Linked DNA regions of Daphnia pulex. The protein of the gene in region 1 interacts with the protein of each later gene in a biochemical or structural test. Links are inferred from orthologs where the notes say so. Each region holds a gene or a part of one and is shown on either strand. Other genes may lie near its edges.

Region 1 (3,256 bases):
CAAAGCCATCGTATCAAAAAATCGAACTTTGGTGCCATCGATGAAATACTGCTCTTTTATTCGCGAACGGTCATAACTTACATTATGTCCTATAACGATACGCTCTTTTTGATCTTTGAGAGGGAGACGGTCTTGTTCCGTTTTTGATTCCAAGTTGATCAAGTCCTTTAATTCATAAATACTTTCCATATCCTTCAAAATTGAACTTTGCACCTGTCAAGTAGGATAATAAAGCATTGATATAGGGTGAAAAAAGTATTAAGAAAAATAAAAATAAACCTTATTTTCAGTAAACAGCTGATTACTACACCATGAGTACCAGTAGTTTTTTGAAACTGCAGTTGCAAGGGTTGGCAAATGGCCCTCTTTCACACAGACTTCCACATCAAAGACATATGCATCCTCTTCTGGAAAATGAACTAGATCCATCTCTCCATTTTGGTTGTATCTTGTCCATCCAGGTGCAAAGTTCCAGACTTGAGGGATGTCTGGAATGCAATGTGATGTCAAATCTAACAATTTATTACGGTAACTTCCACATTGTTTTTCAGCAATTTTTTCAAAGTGTTCTGCTATGTTTTTTCCTAATAAAGTTGGGAGCTTCAAATCAATATCTGGGAGTTTACTTGGTGATTTGCCATAAAGATGGTGAATTGATAAATGCTGCTGAATTTTTAACAGCGTTTCTTTAGATACAGAATTGTTGTTTTCTTTTTCGAATATCTGTCGATGGATAGATCTTGATAACATTTGTATACCACACGGATTAATAGTAACACATTTGTTTGAAATAGATACTTCTTCTTTGCATTGGCTTTTTGTTGAAAAATGTATTCTATAATTATGAAGAATATTTAAACTAGATAATGAATATTTCCAAGGTATTTTCCTACGGTTATGTTTAATTTGCCACACTCGAAACGAAAGCATGTTTGGAAACAAGTTTGAATTTGTTTATCGGGCATCGGCAACTCCACGGTAAGAAATAGTAAAACGTGGGAAAAAGAGTAGATAGGGATTTAGTGGTGAGGCAATGGACAATGGACTAATGGAGTAGGAGAAGTCAGAAGTACTGAAGTAGCAGTCGTAGCAGACTAGGCAATCGCAGTCGTCCAATCCATCCCTGAGGCTGAAATCCTACGTTTTACTTTGTTCCTACCACCGCCGCGACCCGCATTTTACCTCTTCATTCTCCCAGCAGCTCCCAGTATGCCAAAGGCAAAACAAGACCCGTAGGTCGTAGTCTCGTAGACGACATCAACAGTCGATGAGATTTAGTTTCCGGCTGTACGTTTGGATTTGATATATTCAGCACTGGTATACCTCGTTCGAATTTCCCCATTTGGACTTTAGAGTGTCTTTTGCAAAAAGAGGTTTCAAGTAAAATTGGTTGTGTGTTCCACATCCAAGATGAGTTCACAATCTAACATAGCCCTGAATAATTGGCTCATGGCTAATAATGTGGAAAATATTAGTTCAGTTGACGAAATTTATCGATATGATAGAAAGCAACAGCAAGACATGTTGGCTGCTAAACCATGGGATAAAGAGTAATATTATTTTTTATTTTGTATCAAGTCATGTTAACAACTTTACGTTTTATGTTCTAGCCCTCATTTCTTCAAAGAGATCCGTATATCAGCCTTGGCATTGTTGAAAATGGTTACTCATGCTCGGTCTGGAGGACATCTAGAAGTGATGGGATTGCTTTTGGGCAAAGTAGATGCAAACACAATGGTGGTAATGGATGCATTTGCCCTGCCAGTTGAAGGCACAGAAACCAGAGTAAATGCTCAGTCACAGGCTTATGAATACATGACTGCTTACATAGAATCAGCTAAACAGGCAAGTACATTTGCTCTTGATCACATTTTTAAGTAACTAATTGGAATATGAGTATTAGGTTAATCGTCTTGAAAATGCCATTGGATGGTACCATTCACACCCTGGATATGGATGCTGGCTATCAGGAATTGATGTTTCTACCCAGATGCTTAACCAAAATTTCCAGGAACCCTTTGTTGCTATTGTTGTAGATCCTGTTCGTACTATTTCAGCTGGCAAGGTGTGTCTTGGTGCCTTCCGTACATACCCTAAGGTGAACAGATATATTTTTCTATCAAGCGTACAGAGTAGTTTACTTTTTATTTTTCCTTAGGGTTACAAACCCCCAAATGAAGAGCCAAGTGAGTATCAAACCATCCCACTCAATAAGGTTGAAGATTTTGGTGTCCACTGCAAGCAGTACTATGCCCTTGAGGTTTCTTACTTTAAATCAGCTCTGGATCGCCGTCTATTAGACTCATTATGGAATAAGTACTGGGTCAGCACATTGAGTTCTTCATCTCTCACCACAGTAAGAACAAATATTCAAAGCGTTATATCATGTTATAAAAAGTATTAATATCTCTTTTTATTAGAATGCTGATTATACAACAGGTCAAGTATCGGACCTTTCGGAAAAACTTGAGCAAGCTGAAAACTCTCTAGGACGGGCGGCTCTAGTCGGAAGCGGCGTTGGTGTGAGTGGCTCCAGCATTGAGGATAGAAGATCGGAAGATAGGCTAGCTAAAGCAGCTCGTGATGCTACAAAAACTTCCATTGAAGCTCTTCATGGTTTGCTGGCTCAAGTAATTAAAGATCGTCTGTTCAACCAAGTGCGTTCAAGGCCTGCGTGAACCATCTCGTTTTTCTAAATATCCTCTGAGAATCCTTAATAATAAACTGGCTTATGCATACCATTTTGTTTGTGTTTTCTGTGAATGAGTTACCAAGTGTTAGAATATATTGTATTGAACATGTAAAATTCTTTGGCTATATCTCTAATAATGGGGTCAAGATTGAACAGCAATTGTGGGCAATATAAATAATTGTTATGTGAAGAATCTCCACGTTAGTTCATCGGAATGCTCAAAAATGTGCAAAACAATAAGAATCGAACATTAAAGTTGCCAAGTCGCAGTAGGATCCATTGCCATTGCGCGGCAAAATGTCATTTTTATGAGTTTAAATAATTATTTTAGGTTCACGTATTTGTAAGGTTATAAGACTAATAATATATCGGACATGCCAATCACAAATGAGATGAAGGGTCCTTTGAATGCCGTTTGCTGTCAGATGTAGGTAAAAATAAAAGTGGTACCATTCCAAGCACACATCCTATAGCAACACCAATAGCACGTCCGATATTAATGGCCCAAGTAGTTGATCGAAAAGCATATTGCCGAGGCTCGAGATCGGGTTGAGGAATTCCTAG
Region 2 (4,176 bases), on another chromosome or scaffold:
AGTTACTACAAAAACCTACCTGTTTACGCTGGCTTCGTTTTTTAGCTGAGGTCATTCCCCAGCGAGTCAATCCCGCTGAAAGCACTGAGACGATGTAATGAACCGTCCCACATAAAACAGCAGGGCACAAAATAATCCATATTGGTAACAATCGACCTAAAAATATTTTAAATGATGCAATAGAGAATCCTAGTAAATATTTTGGAAAAATGTTTTACCTGTTTGGGGGGCAGACCAGCTTAAGAACCTATAAATCCCTTCTTGAAAAACATCAAAGATACCCGGCTTTTCACTTGCAATATCAGATTGAACAGTTTCTACAACACTTGCTGCATAAAATGGGATCACGACAGCTAGGGAAACGCTAGGGAACCAAAAAATAGATTTAAAAATTCTTTAGATATCTGCTAATAATTGTCGTATGACAATTTCAATGTGTTTTTGTGATACCTTTTCAAGAGGATGTGGTGTCCAATTGCTTTCAATGAGCTGTTACGATCAATTTCTCTAAAAAAAAAAGAAAAAAAAAACAAAAACAAGTGAATATTCTGTCAGTCTAAATATAAACACACACTGGCTATTTCAATGAACACAAGAGGACAGCTTACATGGCAACATTTGCCACTTTATATGCTAAATTACTTTGGCCATGGTGTTATCTTGCTCAGTACATCCTCAATGGCTAATGTGAGACCTCTCACAATTAAAGCACTGCCAATTCCTTTCCATAACACAGTCATGCTTTGTCTTTGGTGTAGCCTAATGACTACTGGGACCAAGCTGAAAGGTAGTGTATGGTATTTTCTAGAAAATACATTAACCTACAGATAAGCAGTATTAAAAAATTTACTATCAAATTAACGTAAAGAATTTTTCACCTGACACTGTCTTCGCAGAACTAAAAATGGATGGCATAGTAGATTTTCAGCTGCTAGTCTCATAATACCAAAACTGGGATTTGGGATTCTACTTGCATCAATCATATCATCTTACAAGAAAATAAAAATTATGTAAAGTCATTGCAAAAAAATGTGTGATGATAAAAGTCACTGTTAATACCATATCTATATTTCGGCGACGTAATAGCTTTGTTTTCATGTTGTATCCTACCATCAGTTACTGCAGAAGCAGCAGAATCAGCTTTTTTTATCCAAAAGGGAGAATTTTCTAAACTGTAATAGAACGAGTAGTCCTCAGTTCCAGCCATACTAACCTGTACACTTGATTTGATATTAATGTTTATGAATTCCAAGTAAAAAAAAAACAAACTATTTTCGTATTATGGTTAACTTTTTCTTTCGTGATACGCAGCAGACGAATAACTACTAATAATGAGCTGCCATCTGATGATAAACTAAACAACTTTTCCGTTTCTTCGCGAAGGCCAAAGGGGCCAGAGCAGACGAACCCACACTGCGCAATCGTTTTATTAATCTTCAGAATCCTTGTTCTGTGAAACCAATTGTATTCTTATTTAACCCCAGGGTCTTAAGATTCTCGAGTAAATTGATTATTCAAGGAATCTGAAACTTTGTCCTTCATTTACGATACGAAAAACAAGTAAATAACTTAAGGTCTTTTCATTGCTATTGCCAGTAGTCATTGCATGATCGTTTGTACGAAGATCAGTTTTGGTTTTCTCCCGTTGAACTTGGAAATAGGGACTCTGGCTTTTTTTGTAAAATTCCTATGATCCACTTTTTGGACTTTGATTCAGCTGTTCTAATAACTGCACAAAATGTCTCTTAAACCGAAGCGTGTAGACTTTACCACAACTTGGGCTGATTTAAAGGAAACAGTTAAAGGTGTTGTAACTCTGGGAAATGTTCCTCATACTATATGGTACAATCGATTCAGTGATGTGTATTCCCTCTGCGTGGCTTACCCAGAACCTTTAGCTGAGAAATTGTACCAAGAAACTAAAAAGTTTTTGGAGGAGCATGTTAAATCTCTTTTCATCCAAGTGAACGGCACCAGTGAAGAACAGCTTCTGACTGTGTATTACACACTTTGGCAGCAATATAGCCAAGGAATGGACTATTTGCACAAACTTTACTCGTAATTTATTCATTTCTTTTCTCTAATAAAACAAGTTAATACATGCTTTTAATTCAAATACAGATACCTTAATACCCAACACATCAAGAAACAAAAAGCATCTGATGCCGAGCTTCTTTATGGGACATTGTCTTATGAATCACCTGAACAAATGAAAGAAATCGGAGAATTGGGTAATCACTATTTGTAATTTTTTTGGTGTACTGAATCCTTATCGAAACTTGCTTGCTAGGTTTGGATTTGTGGAAGAAGTATATGATAGAGCCATTGAAAGCCGACTTGCTGAGATTACTTTTGGGAGGCATACATTGTGACCGAACTGGACAATCTTTGTATAATGAAAAGTCATCAACAATTCAGGGTGTGATTCAGTCGTTTGTTTCAGTCGAGGAATACAAGAAGAAGAACACCCTCGAACTTTATGAGGCTGTTTTTGAAGGGCCATTTCTTGAAGCGACCGGTGAATACTACAAGTAAGAAATAATTAAAATGTTAAAAATTTGCATATTACAGTTGTTTGGTCAAATTTAGGCAAGAAGCTAGTCGCTTGTTACAGGAATGCACAATTTCCTTGTATATGGAAAAAGTTTTGCAACGTCGGGACGAAGAAGATTTACGTAGTCGGAAATTCCTGCACCCAAGCTCTTACAGTAAAGTTCGAACTGAATGCGAAAAACGAATGGTAGCAGATCACTTGGCGGCTATCCACAACGAGTGCCCGACAATGGTTCAACAAGAACTCCAACAAGATCTTCGAAATGCGTACGCGTTGTTGAAGGTGAGAGCTTATCTTATTGCCTCGTAGTATAAATTTTAATTGTTTTCTAAAATTTGTTCAGTCGATTCCGGGAGGTTTGACTGTTCTGGTGTCGCACGTCATGGAACACATCAAACAACAAGGATTGCGAACAGTGACTAACCTGTCAGGAGACAACATTGCTGCCCAGTTTGTAGAGGGCATGCTTAGTGTCCACTCCAAGTACAAGGAGATCACCAACACTGTTTTCAGTAATGATCAGCTATTTAGCAGCGCTCTAGATATGGCCTGTGCTGCAGTCGTCAACCATCGCTTCAATACTAAACAAAATTGTAGGTCTCCAGAACTACTTGCCAAGTATTGTGATACTCTCTTGAAGAAGTCAACAAAAGGCGGTAGTGACACCGAAGTTGACGATAAGTTAACACAGTGCATTACTGTATTCAAGTACATCGACGACAAGGATGTTTATCAAGCTTTTTACTCACGGAAGTTGGCACATCGATTGATTTCACAACAGAGTCAAAGTATGGACGCTGAAGAGGCAATGATCAACCGATTGAAACAGGCATGCGGATATGAGTTTACCAACAAACTTCATCGAATGTTCACGGACATGTCCGTCTCATCAGACCTGAACAACAAGTTTAATCTGCTGAACAAAGATCGGATGATTGAATTAGGTCTCAACTTCTCCATCTATGTCTTGCAAACCGGTGCGTGGCCTAGACAAGTCTGCCCTACCGATTTCGCCGTACCCCAAGAGTTGGAAAAATCGGTCCAAGAATTTGAAGATTTCTATCGTCTACAGTTTAACGGCCGGAAGCTTGCATGGCTACATCACTTGAGTTACGGAGAGCTGAAACTGAACTACTTGAAAAAGCGTTACTTCATCACCATGGGAACCTTCCAAATGGCAATGCTTCTTGTCTTTCAAAAGACCAATTCCGTGACTTGTGGAGAACTCATGGAAGCCACGAAGCTTAACTCGGATCAATTCCAAAAGGTCCTTCAGAGCTTAGTCGACTCAAAGCTTTTGGCAGTAACTAGTGACACTGTCGAAGTTTTCCAACCATCTACAGTCATTTCCCTCAATATGGATTATAGTAACAAACGAACCAAGTTTCGTATTAACAACACTATCCAAAAGGAGACTGTCCAAGAAACCGAGACGACGCATTCTTCTGTAAACGAAGACAGGAAAATGTACCTTCAGGTAAGAATTATACGAATATTTTAGCGTAATGCGTTAGAAATCCGAAAACAAACTAAAGTTTTTTTTTTTTTTTCATTTGGCTTTCCAAGGCTACAATCGTTCGAATCATGAAATCTAGGAAGATTCTTCGCCACATGGTCTTAAT
Region 3 (3,996 bases), on another chromosome or scaffold:
ATTATAATTTTGGGGCATTTCTTTTAAAATCAATTTGTAATAAAAAACAAGGTTTCCTGCTACCGGCCATCAGCTTCTTCGCTGTTGGCCAACTGACGTCCGAATGGCGCTATGTGGCCGTTTTCTTATTGGCTTTGACTCAGGCCGGTAGTGAAATCGCCATCATGGGCGGTTTTATGTTCTCCAACATCGACCTGGCCCCCCAATACTCTGGCGTCCTCCAGGTGATACATGTTACACAACAGTTTTGACAATTTCTATATTAAATTATGGATTGATCGTTCAAGGGCATCTCGAACACGATAGGAACCGTTCCCGGGTTCGTTTCTCCCATCGCCATCGCCTATCTCACGCCGACGGTACTCGATTCAATTTTTATTGACTTTATTTGTGATTGTAATCATTCTGTTTTTATCTTGACTTGACAAAGGGGACGGCGGGTGAATGGGCCAACGTTTTCTACATCAGCGGATCTCTTTATGTTTTGGGGGCGATGATTTATCTCATTTTCGGGACGAGCGAGCGACAAAAATGGTCCCACCACCCAACTACTCCGAAGATTATTACAACGGCCGCGGCCGAGATCGACGACGACGGGAAAGAAGACGCCCGCCAATTGTTTCAATCTCCCGTTCCGTCTAGCCGACCGGAGATTTCATGAGAATCGTTTTCTTAATTTTTTTTTTACTTTTTCAATATTGTTGAAATTCATCAGAGCATTTTATAATACGGCACGACGAAGAGTGAACAAAACTACGAATTTAATTTCCACGTTGTTTCTTATAAAATTGAACCACTAAAAGACAAAATTATTTAAAATACAATTTTTTAAATCATCCTAATGGCGAATTGTAATTGGGAAATCATAAAAACCAGATTGAGAATAATGAACAAACAAAGAGGACGCGACCTTCTTTATAAAAGGAGTGGTTTTTATATGCGAATGACTAATCGGCCACACCTTATATCATCCAACATCACCACACCAACTGATCTAAGTAGGAAATTCAAAGGGAAAACGAGTTTTGAACTTGGACTTGTTTTGAACGCCATAAAAAGGACAATTGTTGGACTCGAGATATTATTATAAGAAAGTGGAGGGGGGGTGACACGGTATTTTAGCCTGGAGGGTAATAATTTTGCTTTGAATTTTTCGTTTGGCGCCAGACAGTCGCCGGAGATCTGGCAACGTCCACCCGTCACATCATGGAGTCGTAGGTACAAGGCGTTTTTGTGTTGATCAAGTTTTAAGCAGAGCAGATTTAGAAAATTGGCACGTTACGAAAGTATTATGTGATTGTCGTGCAATACAACACTTGAATTTGTATCGTTCAGTCTGTCAACTCAGACTTTGATATTTTTGTTTCGTTTGTATTTCGAAAAAGTTTGACGTTAGCGAGGTGGCAGGATTATTTAATCCGCCCAGCAGGTATGTTTTCAAATATATCAACCCTGACGGTTAACTAATATAACGTTTGAAACAATCATGTCATTCAGATAAGGGAAGCCCAGGATGGCAAGCAGTTCACCCACCAGTGCTGATGCCTGTCTCAGTATCGTTCACAGTTTGATGTGCCATCGTCAAGGGGGGGAGAGTGAAGGTTTCTCCAAGCGTGCCATTGAGAGCCTTGTCAAAAAGCTGAAGGTAATAACTATTCTGTCGACACATTTTCTTAACTAATAACGGGACCTTGTTCTAGGAAAAGAGAGATGAACTTGACAGTTTGATTACTGCGATAACCACCAATGGAGCACACCCCAGCAAGTGTGTCACCATTCAACGGACACTAGATGGGAGGCTGCAGGTAATTTTTCACTTACACCTTTTGCATCAACACATCATTCCCTAAAACAATCAAACTTTTAGGTGGCTGGAAGGAAAGGATTCCCACATGTTATCTATGCCAGAATTTGGAGATGGCCTGATTTGCATAAAAACGAGCTAAAACATGTCAAATTTTGCCAGTTTGCTTTCGACCTCAAATGTGATTCAGTTTGTGTGAACCCATATCATTATGAACGGGTTGTTTCACCTGGAATTGGTAAGCTGTTTTCTAATATTTATAAAATGCACTTGCATTACGTCATTTTATTTGTATTGTAGATCTCTCGAGCCTGAGTTTGCAACCATCTGGAGGAGCTTCTTCATCTGGCGCAATGGTTAAGGACGAATATCTTTCGCGAAGCATGGATATAGATGGAAGTGGCGTTGGCCATTCTCAACCTCAAATGGGAATGGGAATGTCGACACCTGGTGTATCGGGAGTCGTTCCGCAAATACCTCCTCCGTTGCAGCAACAGCAGCCACCGCCTCAGACGATACAACATCATGGGCCTCCTCCTACTCCCACCTTTTCTTCCATGATGCCACATCCGTCGCAAAATCAAGGGCAATGTAAACAGCATTTCATTGTGCAACTGTCGATTGCGTAACAATGATGAATAACAAATCGGTTCGCCTTTTTTTAGTGCCGCCTAGTAGTCCCACCAGCCCTCCTCATAACATGCAGCAGCAGCAGCAAGTACAACAACAGCAAGTGCAGCAGCAGCAACAACAGCAGCAGCAGCAAGTGCAACAACAACAACAGCACAGCATTCCCACACCTACTCCGCAAGGGAATGCTTCATCAAACGATCATCACCAAGTCTTTTTCGGAAATGACATGCCTCCAAGTAAAAAACAAAAGCTTTTGGCTTTACAGGAAAAAACGTTTATGCGATGCTAACTTTCGTTTTGTTTTCTTTAGGTTCAGGGAATTTGATTCCCATGTCACCTCACAATCTCCAGCAAAACGGGTTCCAACCGCTGACTCCTCAAAACTCAGTTGGTCAGCAACAGAGTTATGTTCCACCACAAAGTGTGCCTCCTCCTCTGGTTGCTATGAGCAATCAACCCGTTGTGGGCTCTGGCCCCGTACCGTGCCCGCCTACCGGGGCTGGTGTCAGTGGACAGGGAACCTGGACAGGCAACAGCACTTTAACGTACACCCAAACGATGCAACCCCCCGATCCCAGGAATCACCACCCGAGCTACTGTATGCAATCAAAAACATGATTTCATCATCTTTGAAACGTCAAAATAATCCACCGCTAACAATCTTTTAACAGGGCCCCATCAGACACCTGCAGTGCAGCAACACGATTTGGGAGTCCAGGCCGCTCTGTCCTCGCAACCTGTGCCCGAATTTTGGTGTTCGGTTGCCTATTTCGAATTGGACACGCAGGTTAGCTGAGCGGATATTATTCGATATCCAAATCAGTTTTCAATTTCAGTTTTTTTCTTTTTATTCCGTCTAGGTGGGAGAAACGTTTAAGGTTCCGTCGTCTTGTCCGACGGTGACTGTTGATGGATACGTTGATCCCTCGGGCGGTGATCGCTTTTGCCTAGGAGCCCTGAGCAACGTCCACCGAACTGACCAGAGTGAGAGGGCCCGGTAATTTTGTTTTCAAATGTTTCAACTCCAATTTCATCTCATATTTCGTCGTCGCTTTTTTCTTTAGTTTGCATATTGGCAAAGGAGTACAATTGGATCTGCGAGGAGAAGGAGACGTTTGGCTGCGTTGCCTGTCGGATCACAGCGTGTTCGTTCAGAGCTACTATCTGGATCGAGAAGCCGGCCGAGCTCCCGGAGATGCCGTTCACAAAATCTATCCTTCGGCTTACATCAAAGTGTTTGACCTGAGGCAGTGTCACGGGCAAATGCAGCAGCAGGCGGCCACAGCCCAGGCTGCTGCCGCCGCCCAAGCTGCCGCCGTAGCTGGACACATGCCCGGATCGAACAATGTTCCCGGAATGCCCCCGCCAATTAGTTTAACGGCCGCGGCCGGCATCGGCGTAGACGATTTGAGGAGACTTTGTATTCTCCGGCTCTCGTTTGTCAAAGGATGGGGTCCCGACTATCCACGAAACTCAATTAAGGAAACCCCTTGCTGGATTGAGGTACCATTGATTTTTCATTTACCCTCGGTCGGAATTCTAATTGTTCGCCTTTCTGT
Region 4 (2,419 bases), on another chromosome or scaffold:
TAAAGTTGTCATACTGACAAATAAACCCTTTCGGAGGAAAAGTACAAGCGTAAGAAAGACCATTTATAACAGACAATTCTGGCCGATGATGAAGAATAAGAAACGACATCCAACAATGAGCAGTCAAAATTGTGCGCAATTTTCCTTGAGTTTCCATTTCCTGTTAATCGGGACGATGAATCTGAAGTCGAGGTACAAATTCGACCAATAGCACCTGTATCACAAACATGGCAAGTATTATACCAAAAAATAAAGAAGTGAAAACGTTTTCCATTTCTTACATATTCCACCATGGCTGAACTGTCACATCTTTGTTTAGATAGCCTCCAATGTAATCCCAACTTACTGTACAAGTGGCTATTTTCCCAGTCAAGAAGTTTCTCAAGTGCATGCCTTGTCTAATGAAAGAAAAGAAATTGTTAGCACAAGTGGAATGTCAATGAAACCTTTACGCTCATTACCCTTTTACTGAGGCAAACTACAGGCCAAAGTGAACAACCCAAAGTACAGCAACAACATATACACCCACAAAACAACCACTTAACATTCACTGGAAGAGTTTTTTTCAAGACAGAATTTATTCTCTGAAGTGTTTCGCTGAACTCTTCAGGAGCGACCTTGCCTGTCAGGGCAGATGGGAATTCTGTGTCAAAACGATTACTAAGTCCAAACCTGTATGAAAATAGGCAATAACAGATAATTAAATTTCAGGTAGTTTTTACTTTTTACTCATCTCGGACGACTTCTAAAATATGTCAGAGACAGATTTCACTTACACAGTAACATTCCCAGCACCTCGAATAGCAACCGGATCTCGAACAGGTTCTCTATGATGTGTGAGCAAATCGACCCATTCTCCATTGTCTGAATGAATTCCATGATAAACGTCTTCATGAAGAGTCGAAATCGCGTTCAGGTCTTCTGCATTGGCCATTATTGATATACATTCGACTCAAATACATTCAAACAAATCAGACTCGTAAATACACTCCACAGCAGTCGTTCATCCTGTTCTACTAAACAAGTAAACAGCTGATTTCAACTTTCATTCTTTACACCATAACCATATCCATAAACTATTATTTTGGAGGATGGGAGACATAAAAAAACATTTTATACAAGATCAATTTTTATAAAACATAACACAAATAATCTTATATTTAGTACACATTCATTTAAGTGTAATTTCTATCTATTTTACGAGTTATTTTGATTTTTAATTTAATTTAATACGGGAAAACAAAGAACTTGCACGCCATCTAGCAGCGGTCACATAAATCAGCTATTTCTTGGAAGTTTTCCTAGCAGACTACTCTTGTAACTTGGTACTTGGGGTTATTCGTGATTTGATTGATTACCTAACATCAAATCGTTTAATTCTAACGGAAAATGCCACACTTAAAAATCACGACCAATGTTTCAAAAAGTTCAATCCCAAGTAATTTTTTGAAAGAGACTTCTGCATTGATTGCTAAAATGCTGGGTAAACCTGAAAGTGTAAGTATAACATCAAAACATTACAAATTTGTTTAAAGACAGAGCAAGAAATTTTATTTTTTGATTTTAGTACTGTGTTGTGACAATTGTTCCCGACCAGATGATGATTTGGGGAGGAGAAGAGGGGCCATGTGCCATTGCCCATCTAATGAGTATTGGAAAACTTGGAGTCAATGAAAATAAAAGCTATTCAAAAATACTTGGTGAACATGTTGAGAAGCATTTAGGTGTTGCTCCCAATCACATGTACATTGAATTCCAAGATGTTAAAACTGCTGATCTTGGATATGATAAAACAACCTTCCATGATATTCTTGGTTGATAGTTTATTCACAGCTGTCATTGATATCTAATATAAGAAATAAAAAATTTACCCAAAAAAATTATGCATTCATTTGTTCTAGGATGTTTGTTTTTCTTTCAAGGTTGTTCTCCAAGAAAATGCGGTAGGTAGGCTATTAATCAAAGTAACAAAGCAAGCTTTTTTTCATAATTTGTCTGATGTGATGAGAAAGAAGTAGTGATTTTCGTTAACGATAACGGATAACGTAAAAAGTCCGTTAACGGCCCTTTTTTGGTGTTCGTTAACTTAACTGATAACGCTAACGTTTGGCATTTTTCAGACGTTATTTTCGACGTTATTTTTGTTTTTAACAGCGCTTCCAAATATGTAATTTTTGGATTTTTCCCGATTTTTCCTATGAAATTTTGATTTTTTGCGCGCTTCCAGCATTTTATTGTAGTAGGTTGACTATGAAAACGAATTTAGCCAGTGACAGTGAGCAGTAGTCTTCTTAGCTTCTCTAAGGTTTTTTTTTGCTTTCAAAACTTGGCAAACGAAACTGTATAAGCAGAGTAGGAATCTATAATGTCAGATTCAGACTCTGATGCTCCTGTTGACGGTGAAGAAGAGGAGGATTTA

Evidence for each region.
Region 2: of the proteins of COP9 signalosome complex subunit 5-like (region 1) and cullin-2-like, one has a biochemical effect on the other in vitro, tested with the Homo sapiens proteins (3 studies listed by BioGRID). The link is inferred for Daphnia pulex from reciprocal best matches to the Homo sapiens genes COPS5 and CUL2.
Region 3: the proteins of COP9 signalosome complex subunit 5-like (region 1) and mothers against decapentaplegic homolog 4-like form a complex in vitro, tested with the Homo sapiens proteins (2 studies listed by BioGRID). The link is inferred for Daphnia pulex from reciprocal best matches to the Homo sapiens genes COPS5 and SMAD4.
Region 4: the proteins of COP9 signalosome complex subunit 5-like (region 1) and macrophage migration inhibitory factor-like form a complex in vitro, tested with the Homo sapiens proteins (2 studies listed by BioGRID). The link is inferred for Daphnia pulex from reciprocal best matches to the Homo sapiens genes COPS5 and MIF.

Annotation. Positions count from the first base shown.
Region 1 is NC_060026.1:5,023,661-5,026,916, reverse strand, and holds COP9 signalosome complex subunit 5-like, read left to right. Parts: upstream 1-1,342; 5' UTR 1,343-1,410; coding exon 1,411-1,550; intron 1,551-1,610; coding exon 1,611-1,845; intron 1,846-1,903; coding exon 1,904-2,098; intron 2,099-2,158; coding exon 2,159-2,356; intron 2,357-2,420; coding exon 2,421-2,678; 3' UTR 2,679-2,738; downstream 2,739-3,256. Other genes in the region: transmembrane protein 65-like, read right to left, coding at 3,074-3,256. UniProt on the Homo sapiens protein: Probable protease subunit of the COP9 signalosome complex (CSN), a complex involved in various cellular and developmental processes.
Region 2 is NC_060021.1:10,405,355-10,409,530, reverse strand, and holds the start of cullin-2-like, read left to right. Parts: upstream 1-1,375; 5' UTR 1,376-1,738; coding exon 1,739-2,058; intron 2,059-2,121; coding exon 2,122-2,231; intron 2,232-2,290; coding exon 2,291-2,531; intron 2,532-2,589; coding exon 2,590-2,836; intron 2,837-2,897; coding exon 2,898-4,031; intron 4,032-4,120; coding exon 4,121-4,176. Other genes in the region: solute carrier family 25 member 46-like, read right to left, coding at 20-156, 219-364, 451-507, 643-821, 879-988, 1,060-1,207.
Region 3 is NC_060024.1:13,713,982-13,717,977, forward strand, and holds the start of mothers against decapentaplegic homolog 4-like, read left to right. Parts: upstream 1-1,195; 5' UTR 1,196-1,429; intron 1,430-1,497; 5' UTR 1,498-1,513; coding exon 1,514-1,645; intron 1,646-1,700; coding exon 1,701-1,805; intron 1,806-1,867; coding exon 1,868-2,042; intron 2,043-2,104; coding exon 2,105-2,395; intron 2,396-2,469; coding exon 2,470-2,673; intron 2,674-2,747; coding exon 2,748-3,035; intron 3,036-3,108; coding exon 3,109-3,224; intron 3,225-3,297; coding exon 3,298-3,434; intron 3,435-3,501; coding exon 3,502-3,940; intron 3,941-3,996. Other genes in the region: sialin-like, read left to right, coding at 52-224, 288-359, 431-661. UniProt on the Homo sapiens protein: In muscle physiology, plays a central role in the balance between atrophy and hypertrophy. When recruited by MSTN, promotes atrophy response via phosphorylated SMAD2/4.
Region 4 is NC_060025.1:8,984,194-8,986,612, reverse strand, and holds macrophage migration inhibitory factor-like, read left to right. Parts: upstream 1-1,308; 5' UTR 1,309-1,389; coding exon 1,390-1,497; intron 1,498-1,567; coding exon 1,568-1,819; 3' UTR 1,820-1,918; downstream 1,919-2,419. Other genes in the region: cysteine-rich hydrophobic domain-containing protein 2-like, read right to left, coding at 164-214, 282-398, 462-672, 777-934; uncharacterized protein LOC124202754, read left to right, coding at 2,366-2,419.